Drosophila melanogaster: one gene and its partner. The protein of the gene in region 2 interacts with the protein of the main gene of each other region in a pairwise test. Each region holds a gene or a part of one and is shown on either strand. Other genes may lie near its edges.

Region 1 (4,744 bases), on a different chromosome or scaffold from region 2:
AACTGAAATGCGATTGGTTCAATTTGTTGGTGTCATTATGAGCAGTAGGAATTTAATGAAAACGTTTAGCTTAAGTACTTGATTCGATATTCGAATTCCGCTTTGCACATCGCGCAAATTGAGAGATAAGATAACTGATGGAATAACTATTTCAAAGCCGTGCGAAGAGTAGTAGTGCGTCCTTCAGCAAAGCCTCCTTTTCCAGACTGACCTACGCCATCGCTATTTCGACGAGCAGAGCTTCTCCGTAAAGAACGGAGCCTCCTTCAGCTTGGCCTTGTCCGCCTCGTCGAGGAACGCCTTGGCCTGCTCGATGTCCCCGCGGATGGCGGCAATCAGTGACTCCAGGGAGTCGAAACTGCGCTCCGGTCGCAGGTAGCCTACAATGCATATCTTGAGTGTCTGGCCGTAAAGGTCACAGTTAAAGTCGTGTAGCATGTGCGTCTCCACGCTCTTCTCCTTGTTGTTGTAGAAGGGATTCCAGCCGATGCTGAGGACCATCTTGTGCACGGGTCCATTATCCACGTTTGCCCAACCGTAGTACGCGCCAGTGGGCAGGGATTCCGGCAGCGATTTCACCACCTCCAGCGGAAAGTTAGCTAACAAGTGGTTTGGTTATCAATTAGAAATGACCTTCGCAATTCGCCTAACGTCGCCACCAACCTGTTGGGATGCCCAGCTCTTTGGAGCCGCGTCCGAAGCCCCGAACAATCTCGCCCCCAGCGAACAGAGGCAGTTGGCTCAGCATTTCCCAGATTTCCTTGCAATCTGACCCAGATCTGCTGTGCTGGCGCTTGAAATGAATATCAGGGGCCAATGGGCGGTTGATTTGCGGTATTCTGTGCAACCGCAAAGCGCTGCGGGCCAATTTATCGAGTCTGGCAAGGAGTCAAGCGGGGTTTTCTACAGAGTACGTATGTTGTGATTGCCGCGTAGCCACTCACATAACTATTCCTCGTTCCATTGATCGGCATAATATTCATAAACACACAGACAAATTTTCCGCATTCATAAAGCGAATCAGCTGTTGCCTTCGGGCTGCCAACCTGTTTCAGTTATATAGTACTGTCAATTAGCGAATTTTTTTTACTAGATATTTAAATTGTAAGAAACTGAAATGTATATATTACGCACAGTATGGTTTTAATCAATAAAGCTTGGGTTTATATTGTAATGCAGAATTAATGTAATTGGATTGATTTTAAAATTTTAGCGGCGGGTTAAACATATTTTCATCAAAAGCTTTTATTTGCTGTGTAGAGCTTCTATTGAAAATATTGAATTTTTATTTCATAAATGAATCATCAGATGTTTTGTGTAAATACTAGTACTCTATTCCCAAAATAAATAGAACACCAAATCGTAATTAAATTACAATGAAAGCCAGCTTGCCTGAAAAATATTTGTGTTATTAATACAAATATACATACATATATACATATATATACATATATACATATTTTTTCATATCATATCAATCTCAATTTTTTTTATTCTGAATAATTGTTTTCCATGTGTACATGTATTATTCAGCACTAAAAAAAATGTACAAATGATCAGTGCGACGGTTGGTTTCTTTGCAGTTCCAGTTATCATCCAATTCTCCAAAAAGTGAACACTTACACTTGTGTAGAATGAGAAATCAATTGAACTCTTTAAAAAATGTGCCGTTTATTCATATAATTTACCAGCAATAACTGTAAAACCAGCGAAACGGGATTATTAGTTTGCAAAACAAGGCCAATGTCAATGGTCAATTCATAAGATGTCGTAAACTGTTCTTTTATTAAAAAACATTGCATTTGGTTGTTGATTTAGATGATGCACAGCGCGAAGAACGTGTGCCGGACTTGTATGGACGAGACCGGCACCCTGGTAGATATATTCGCCAATGTAAGGGATCCTGTGCTCGACGAACCGGAGATGAGCCTCTCGCACATCCTGGCCAGGTGTACCGAACGTCCAGTGAAACGCGGCGACCTGCTGCCGCAGTTCATATGCGTTTCCTGCGTCCTGGCCGTGCAGAATGCTTTCCGGTTCAAGTGGCAAAGCGAGCAGAGCTACCAGCACTTCTTCCGCGTCCTAAACCAGTCGGGTGCTCCGGAAAACCAAGTGCACTTAGCTGCATGTAATGGGGATAAGAACCAGATAATAAACCAGAAAATGCAGCTCAAAAGCGATCGTCAACAGGATACGCAGCAAATGACAAAAACGCAGAAACCAGATGATGATCTTAGTCAAAAACAAACACTCCAAGCGAAGCTCCAAGAGGGAAATATTGATGGCCCACCGGAGTCCTTCACCCTGCATCCTCGTAAGCGGACTTGTCGCACAGAAGAACAGGCAGACATGATCCCAAAGGAAGCTACAAGGTAATGCAATTTGTTATAAATATCAAGCCTCAAGATAGACAAATAATTGAAAAATTATAAAAATTTGAAGGTACATCTTTGATTACTTATACTTTTATATGAATAATTAAAAATAACTTAAATAAGCTTAAATAATTATATTCCCGATTTTCAGAAGTACCAAAATGATCTGCGATGCCGATGGCTACTACAACTGCCCGCACTGTTCTAAGCGATTTTGTTCCCAGACCCAGTTAAGGACCCACATCACCGATCTGTGCAACAGGTGTCCCTACTGCCCACGCACTTATATGCAAAAATCGAACCTCAAGCGGCATTTGCGAAACCACCTAAGCAAGCCAGCGCACAAGTGTTTCCACTGCTCGAAGGCTTTCATGCGTAAAGATCACCTTAAAAGGCACCTGCGCACCCACGACAGTGACGGTCCGCTCTCCTGCAGCCAGTGCTCAGCGGTATTTATCGAACACGTTCAGCTGGAAATCCATCGCAGAGAGCACAAACAAAGGCCGGGCTCTTCAAAATCGGAGTCCACGAAGGATCCTGACTCGGACGACAGCGATCAAGCGCAGGATCTAAAACCAAAGTGGACTAAGAACACCTTCAATGGCACGTGCAGCATTCCACCTATGCTAAAGCCGTGAGTTTGGAACTCCACCAGTCTTATGTAATATAGTTATACCTGATAGTTATACTTATACCCTAGTACCGCTGAGAAATTTGTGACGAGCGAAGGTAGCGTATCTGACCCCTTTATATTCTTAATCGGAACCACTAGCCGAGTTCATAAGTTCTCATCAGTCCGTCCGTTCGTCTATTTTTCCGTCTGTCTGTCCGCAGAGATCTCTGGAATTAAAAATCTAGAAAATTAAGGTTTTGAGTTTGTTTCAGACCTTTAAAAAGCCAACAAACGGACATTAAGTTATTGTTTTCATTTATTCTTTTACTTAAATTTTTGGCGATAGCCATTTCGCCGAAGAAAATTTGAATAATCAAACTTTAACCAAACTTTAAAATTGTATACCCGTTACACGATAAGTAATAAAAAGGTTTACTAGTAGAAGGAAATAATAATCTTGCACAGGATCAATAGTCTGTCCGTCCGTCTGCGTGTCCGTAAGAACGCCGTGATCCCGTTAACTATAGGAGCTAAATCCCTAAGATTTAGTAAAATTTATAGAAATAGAAAACCCTCGCACTTTTACTAGCTGATTAACGGGTATCTGATAGTCGAGGCGAATCAACTAATATCATTTGCTTCTATTTATTTAACAACAGGAAACCGATATGCGATATTTGCCAAAAGAAGTTCAGTAGTGTCTACGCCTTGAAGCGGCATATGCTTACTCACAATCGCCAACATCATCTTAAAAAATGTACCTATTGTTCCGAGGAGTTCAAAACAGAAAAACATCTCAAAAGGCACGAGCGTGGTCACATGGGAGATCTGTTTCGTTGCGAATTTTGCTCATTGGTATTTGTAGATGTTAACTACTTGCGAAAGCACAAAAAACGCATTCACAGCAACAACGTAATAGCGATGTAGGAGAAGATCATGTCCAAACGGGTGACTACCGGTTATACTCTTGGAAAACAACCATTGAATTAAGCAGATTAATATATGTGAAAGGAATATAAACGATTTATTATTCATTATAATTATAATGACCGCAGGTCTAAACTTCTGTTGTTGATTCTTACTTTGAATTTTCTTAAATATGATTCTTTTGTTACTTTCATAAGCTCAAAATTAATATTATTTAAGTTTCGTTTTAATTATATATTTCACAGAAACTCAAATATACTGAGAATAAGCTCTAAATTTATATTATTGAAATTTCCTTTTAATTGTATATTTCACAATACATTATTATACTGAAAATAATTAAACAATCGATTGATTGCTACCACATGCTACTTAATGCCTTCTTATATATCTTTAGAGCTTCAAACTTTTTTCTTTTAGCTTTGTTGTGGTTTTGCGAGAACAAAAGGAAAAATAGACAAAAAGAATGATCCATACATCATGAAAACAACTAGTATGCTTTATTATTAGTACGTTTTGTTCTTAATATAGAAAAAAAGGGAATATATATGCTTTATGCTTTATGGACGTGCGACTATATCAAATGTAACGTATAACGTTAAAGGTAGTCTGTGTAGTATTAATACACAATTGTAAACGAATTCAATCCGTTAAAAAACACTTTGGTGAAATTGTAAAGCTTTTGTATGCGAACAATTTAAACAAAAAAAAACATAATCTTCTTAAAACTAACTAAAATACTTCGACTCACATCTCGAAGAGTTTCTTTAGCTCCGCGAGGTTGAGACCACCGCCAACACATTTGGTCACTTCTCCTCCTTCCTCTGGA
Region 2 (5,616 bases):
TCACTGTTTCAGCTCACGAGCACCTATTAATGTCAATTGATTTTGCAGCGCTGTACGAGCACAAGATCTTCGTTCAGGGCATCATTTGGGACATCAACTCGTTCGACCAATGGGGTGTGGAGCTGGGCAAGCAGCTGGCCAAGGCCATCGAGCCGGAGCTGGATCACTGCAACGAGGTCTCCACGCACGACAGTTCCACGAACGGTCTAATTAACTTCATCAAAGCCAATTGGAAGTAATCATGTCTGGCTATTTGTTGCGAATTAAAAAGAAATGTTTACACAAATGCTCTAATTGTTAGTAGTTTCTGAGCCGTTATTCAGTAGCCGCCGCTTATGTATACTCGAGCTACAAGCCCCCTGTTATTGGCACATTATTCAACTGTATTTATGAACTGGATATGTTTGTTTGCTTGCGTATCGATGAAATCTCGTGTCGGAATTAGACCAACAATTGGCTCTCACTATTCGTTGTTGCACGTAGTTTAAAACCGTAAATAAAAATTTATGAATTCGATGTAAAAGACTGTGTTTGGAAAAAAATGCTAATTTATTTTCTCGCGGCGCAACAACAAGGGAATTGCATTTAAGCTTAAATTACGGGTAGACTGTCTAATCCATGGATACGTCAGAGTCTGTGTCTGCGTCGGCGTTACCATCGTCGGTCGCCAGGTCGTCGTCGGCCACCAGCTCGTCTTCCAATGGGCTCTTCGGACTGCCTGGCTGATCCTCCTCCAGATCGCTCCAGTTCGTTTCTGCTTCGGGATCGGGCTCATCTGCAAGCAAGCGAATTAAGACTCGAGCCTTGTGCGAATAAAACCACTTGATAACTTACCTGGATCTTCGTCCAGGATCAGGGCTTTGTTATCGTTGAGATGATTGTCCGCGTTGCGTTTCATCTGGTTAATTATCAGGTTGACTCGCCCGGTTATTCTAAAAATAAAGAAGGCATTGAAAAGGTGTTATAACAATATTGCCAATATAACAATAATAGGAGTACACGCATTACTAAATTTTGTCGTGGCCAGATTTCGAAAATGGATCTTTTGTGCAATGATGGCGCTAGCTGTATGGACTACTTCTCCAGCCCCCACAACAAGAAACCCCCGAGTCCAGGCAGTGGCGTGCCAGCATTGGGACCAGGCGGTGCCCTACCCATTGCCATAATACCCAGCATATCCAGCTTAGTCAACCAGTGCAACAAGCCGGCCTGCGATGACGCTGATATGCAGTGCATCATCGACCTGATCGAAGGCACACTCTGCGAAGCGGTGGCCATTATTGAGTCAGACCCGCGTGGTCTTTTTATCTACAACTTTCCGAAAAAGCAAAAGATGTCCTCCATCAGCCTGATCTCTTCAGTGTTCACCGACACCATTGTGGCCAACGGAGAGGATGATCCCTCGATCACGAATCATTACACGGGTGGCCTTGGCATTTCGGCGGACTCCGTATCCAGTGGCTTGGCGCGCAAGATGCTGACCATCGGGGACTTTGAATACTCCAATGCCATTGCCGACATTAGGGATTTTGTCAGTCGCTGGGAACTTTCGCCGGACACGAAGTGTGTGGTGATCAGCAATCCGATTCGACACGAGGTGGCCAAAAAGGGAACCATTCTCTTTGTGGATGCCCATTTCTCTCGGCCAACACCCCGTTGTCCGAATCCTCTGGCCGTCGCCAAGGTGCGTTTCATCATTTCCTTGTCGAAGATTCTATTGAAGCATTATCCCGTGATGATCACCTACCGCTTCGAGGGTTACAACACGCTCTACTACGGCCTGGGCGAACGATGCCTCAACTCGTTCACTTTTCAGCGATTCTACATCGACACCATTCTGCACACCAAGCTGACCTTCTTCGCTGCGATCTCGGAGTGTCGCCACGGCACCATTGAAAAGCCCAAGAATAATATCAAGCCGAAAAATTCAAAGAAATCGGGATCTTGAACTTGATTTCCCTATTAAAACCTTTGTTTTGTGTCTTTCAATTCCCCAATTTTACTTACTGCAAAGCTTCCGATAGACAGTGCATGCGCTGCTCCGCCACGCCGAGGCAAACGGCTAGTTTTTCGCGCAAAGCCTCCTTGTCCTCGGACATCAAGACACTAGTGTGGGTGGAGGTCAGTGCGTGCAGCCAACGCAGGGCGGAGCGGACACTGTAAAAGAACGTATTTAGAAAAAGACTCAATAGGGCTCTACGGAAAACACTCACCTCGCGTGCTTTCCTTGCAGCAGGATGGAAAGTTCGTTGACCAGGGGATTGACATAATCGAGCGGTAGCCGATCCAAGGTCAACTGTATCGTCTCTGGATCCTGAGTGCTCAGAACGGCTTGTATCATCCTTAAAAAACGAACTTCTATTAAAACATCTATTGCCATTGTTCGAAAATCCCTTACGCCTGATCCTTGCTGTGTAATGCCTGCATTAGCAGCTGCGTTTTGCTCTGCGTCAACAACTTGCCGCCACTCAGTTTGGTTCCTTGAATTTTAAGATGTTCTAGTCGGGCTTCCATGGGCACTTCGTTTTGCACTTTCTTCTGCGAGATGGGCAGGGCGCTGTTGTACTCCACATTTTTTTGGTTTACAATGGGCTTCTGGACCTTGGTGGCGGCCTGGTAGCCCGGCTGCTCCTTTCCCTTCTTTTTCGCATAGAGCTTTTTGGGATCGGCGCGCACAATAACGTTTAGTTTCTCGCCATAGTTGGGCGTAAAACGTTCAAACTGCAGCTGTTGGCGACTTCCGTAGCCAAAGAGGATTTCGTGGGAGCGATTTGAGTCTGTCACAAAGTGGGCCGCCACGGCTAGAAGTGGTTCCACTGTTTCGGCGCCATCGGAAACGATCTGCAGCGAAACCTTGGGCTTCACAAACTTCTCTGCGGATAAACTGTGAAACATAGTACTTCAGTACGAGTGACAAAACGTGTATTCACATGACCCACCTGTTCACATTCAACAGGTAAATGTGTATGATGCCATTGCGGGTAACACTGGCCACACGTAGCTGACCATCGTCGCGCACTTCGCTGGTTAGACAGTAGGCCAAGTCCTCCATGAGGAGCGTGCAGGCGGAGGCTTTGTTCTTGCCCTTCTTGTCGATCTTCCAGAAGCAGATTACGCGCTCCATCTTCGCGGTGGTCAAAACGAATTCAGTGCCATCTGTGCTCGCCACGCTGCTGATTGTGTTTATTTCGCCCGAGTGGCCGGTGAACGTTTCCACCAGCTCCTTTGTCTTGATATCGTACACCTTCAGCTGTCGGTAGCCAATGGCCAAGGTGCCACTTTTCTGAAGGTAGACTATATTTTGGGGCTTCTCGGGTCCCACTTGCCATTCGGCGATGGAGCGCTCGTCCGTCAAGGACCAAACAACAACCCTACAATCGGCACCCACAGTGTATAGGTGGCCAGCGTTGTCATTTGTAATTGAGGTCACTGGTCCATCATGGCTGTCGCCACTGAGCGTTCGAGAAATCTGCAAGGATTGCTTGTGGTTTATTCGCCTTCAAGGCTCTTTGTCCGACTCACCTTTCCCTCGGCTAATGAGTATATAACCACTGAGCCCTTGTACGTTCCCAGAGCAATGTGAAGCTGATCACCGGCTGCATCCTGTGCCTGGAGGCTCTTCCGCGACTTCTTGGGCCGGGAACCGGCCACCAAAACCCACGTGAGAGCTGTGCACGACCCGGATAACTGTAGATTGGGCGTAAACTCCTGATACAGCGTGTTCGTCTCTGTGTTCCATATCCGCAGAACTCCCGACTCGTCCACCGAGGCAAATAGTTGGCCACCATTGGGCGAAAATCCCAACACGTGCTTCTTGCCCAGCGACATCGTTTTTTATGTTTTGAATTAGAGATGGGCGCTAAGGCTAGTGTTTACATCGGCTCACACTCGTCGCACTTAATGCAATCTATCACGCAAATGTCACGCACGACTCACGATTGAATTGCATTTACCGACGTTTCCTATACCCTTGAAAGATTTATCAAATTATATGCAAACAAAATTCATCGAGTGAACAATATAATAAACCAATGGGAATGTGAATTTTTTAAATAAACTTTTCAGTTTTTAAATTAAATAATAAAATATTTTACTCTAATTGTTTTAAAATTTCCTCAAAACTTAAAATGAGTAAATTCTTTTGCAACTGTAAATATTACTTATTTGGAGTAACTTATATACATTATCCTGGATTATTTAAGTAAATGCGTTCAAAGACCAAGAAATAAACTCGATTTACAGGATTCTTTGGGGCGTAAACTCCACTGCTGAACTATATTGTTAATTGCATGCTATTCATCATAAACCATTGAGAATCGTTACCTTATTGAAAAAGATCAATTCAAATGTAAAATAAAAATAAAATAGCGCCAGTCACCGTTTACGATAATCGATAGGCAAGTGCCATCGCTATCCCATCCAGAATGTTCGCGGCCACTTTGAGGTTATAACTATAGCTGGAATTTACCGACTGACTCCGTGTGAAATTGAAATCTGTGTTAAAAAATGGCTTTATCCGTTCCCAAGGCTCCCGGTGTGTCGCAGATGCTGAAGGATGGCGCCCGGGTAAGTGCAACAAGGAGGAATAACTCTGCGAGGAGTCCGCCGGGCATCGGTTTCATTGAGATTCGGCTTAAAAGAAAACATGCCGTCTTGCGGAGGCGCGTGATTAGTCATCCTCATGGAACGGGGCTCGACATATGAAAGAAAAATGACTAATTTAATGGCTTTACTTGTGTCCTCAGATGTACAGTGGGCTGGAGGAGGCGGTGTTCCGCAACATCAGCGCCTGCAAGGAGTTTGCACAGACCATGCGCTCTGCCTATGGGCCAAATGGCATGAACAAGATGATCATCAATCACATCGAGAAGCAGTTCGTGACCAGCGATGCCGGCACCATCATGCGGGAGCTGGATGTTGAGCATCCAGCCGCCAAGTTGATCGTCATGGCCAGCCAGATGCAGGATGCCGAGGTGGGCGATGGTACAAACTTCGTGGTGGTGCTGGCCGGAGCTCTGTTGGAGTCCGCTGAGGAGCTGCTGCGTCTAGGAATCACCACTGCCGAGATCTCCGACGGCTATGAAAAGGCCTTGGAGAAGGCTCTGGAGATTCTGCCCAATCTGGTGAGCCACAAGATCGAGGACTATCGCAATGTGGAGAAGGTCAAGGAGGTACTCCGCACATCGATCATGTCGAAGCAGTACGGCCAGGAGGACTTCCTCAACGATTTGGTGAGCAAGGCCTGCGTCTCCATCTTGCCGGATGAGGGCACCTTCAACGTGGACAACATTCGCATCTGTAAGATCTTGGGCAGCGGACTGACCAAGTCTGAGGTGGTTCGCGGCATGGTCTTCAAGCGCTTCGTAGAAGGCGATGTGACCTATGCAGAGAAGGCCAAGATCGTGATTTTCTCCTGCCCCGTCGATATTATCCAAACTGAGACCAAGGGCACAGTGCTGATCAAGTCGGCCGACGAGCTATTGAGCTTTTCCTCCGGCGAAGAGAGCCTGTTGGAGAGCCAGATCAAGGCTATCGCCGACGCAGGTGTCAAGGTGGTTGTGGCCGGCGGCAAGGTTGGCGACATGGCTCTGCACTTCCTTAACAAATACGGTCTGA

The links. The genes of interacting proteins can lie anywhere in the genome.
Region 1: the proteins of CG30349 (region 2) and kipf interact in a two-hybrid assay, tested with the Drosophila melanogaster proteins (one large-scale study listed by BioGRID).

What each region holds. Positions count from the first base shown.
Region 1 is NT_033777.3:7,912,266-7,917,009, forward strand, and holds kipf (kipferl), read left to right. Parts: upstream 1-1,585; 5' UTR 1,586-1,818; coding exon 1,819-2,372; intron 2,373-2,526; coding exon 2,527-3,009; coding exon of another isoform or gene 3,010-3,013; exon of another isoform or gene 3,014-3,104; intron 3,105-3,647; coding exon 3,648-3,915; 3' UTR 3,916-4,188; downstream 4,189-4,744. Other genes in the region: Rfk (riboflavin kinase), read right to left, coding at 223-599, 664-748; CG10445 (uncharacterized protein), read right to left, coding at 4,663-4,744. UniProt on the Drosophila melanogaster protein: DNA-binding zinc finger protein that recruits chromo domain protein rhino/rhi to specific chromatin regions enriched in H3K9me2/3 histone methylation, mediating piRNA (piwi-interacting RNA) biogenesis.
Region 2 is NT_033778.4:8,905,803-8,911,418, reverse strand, and holds CG30349 (uncharacterized protein), read right to left. Parts: upstream 3,902-5,616; 5' UTR 3,829-3,901; coding exon 3,523-3,828; intron 3,470-3,522; coding exon 2,940-3,469; intron 2,885-2,939; coding exon 2,399-2,884; intron 2,343-2,398; coding exon 2,214-2,342; intron 2,158-2,213; coding exon 2,008-2,157; intron 1,988-2,007; exon of another isoform or gene 1,949-1,987; coding exon of another isoform or gene 1,070-1,948; intron 933-1,069; coding exon 835-932; intron 776-834; coding exon 612-775; 3' UTR 534-611; downstream 1-533. Other genes in the region: Pgi (phosphoglucose isomerase), read left to right, coding at 49-239; CG8252 (uncharacterized protein), read left to right, coding at 1,070-1,948; CCT8 (chaperonin containing TCP1 subunit 8), read left to right, coding at 4,507-4,566, 4,746-5,616.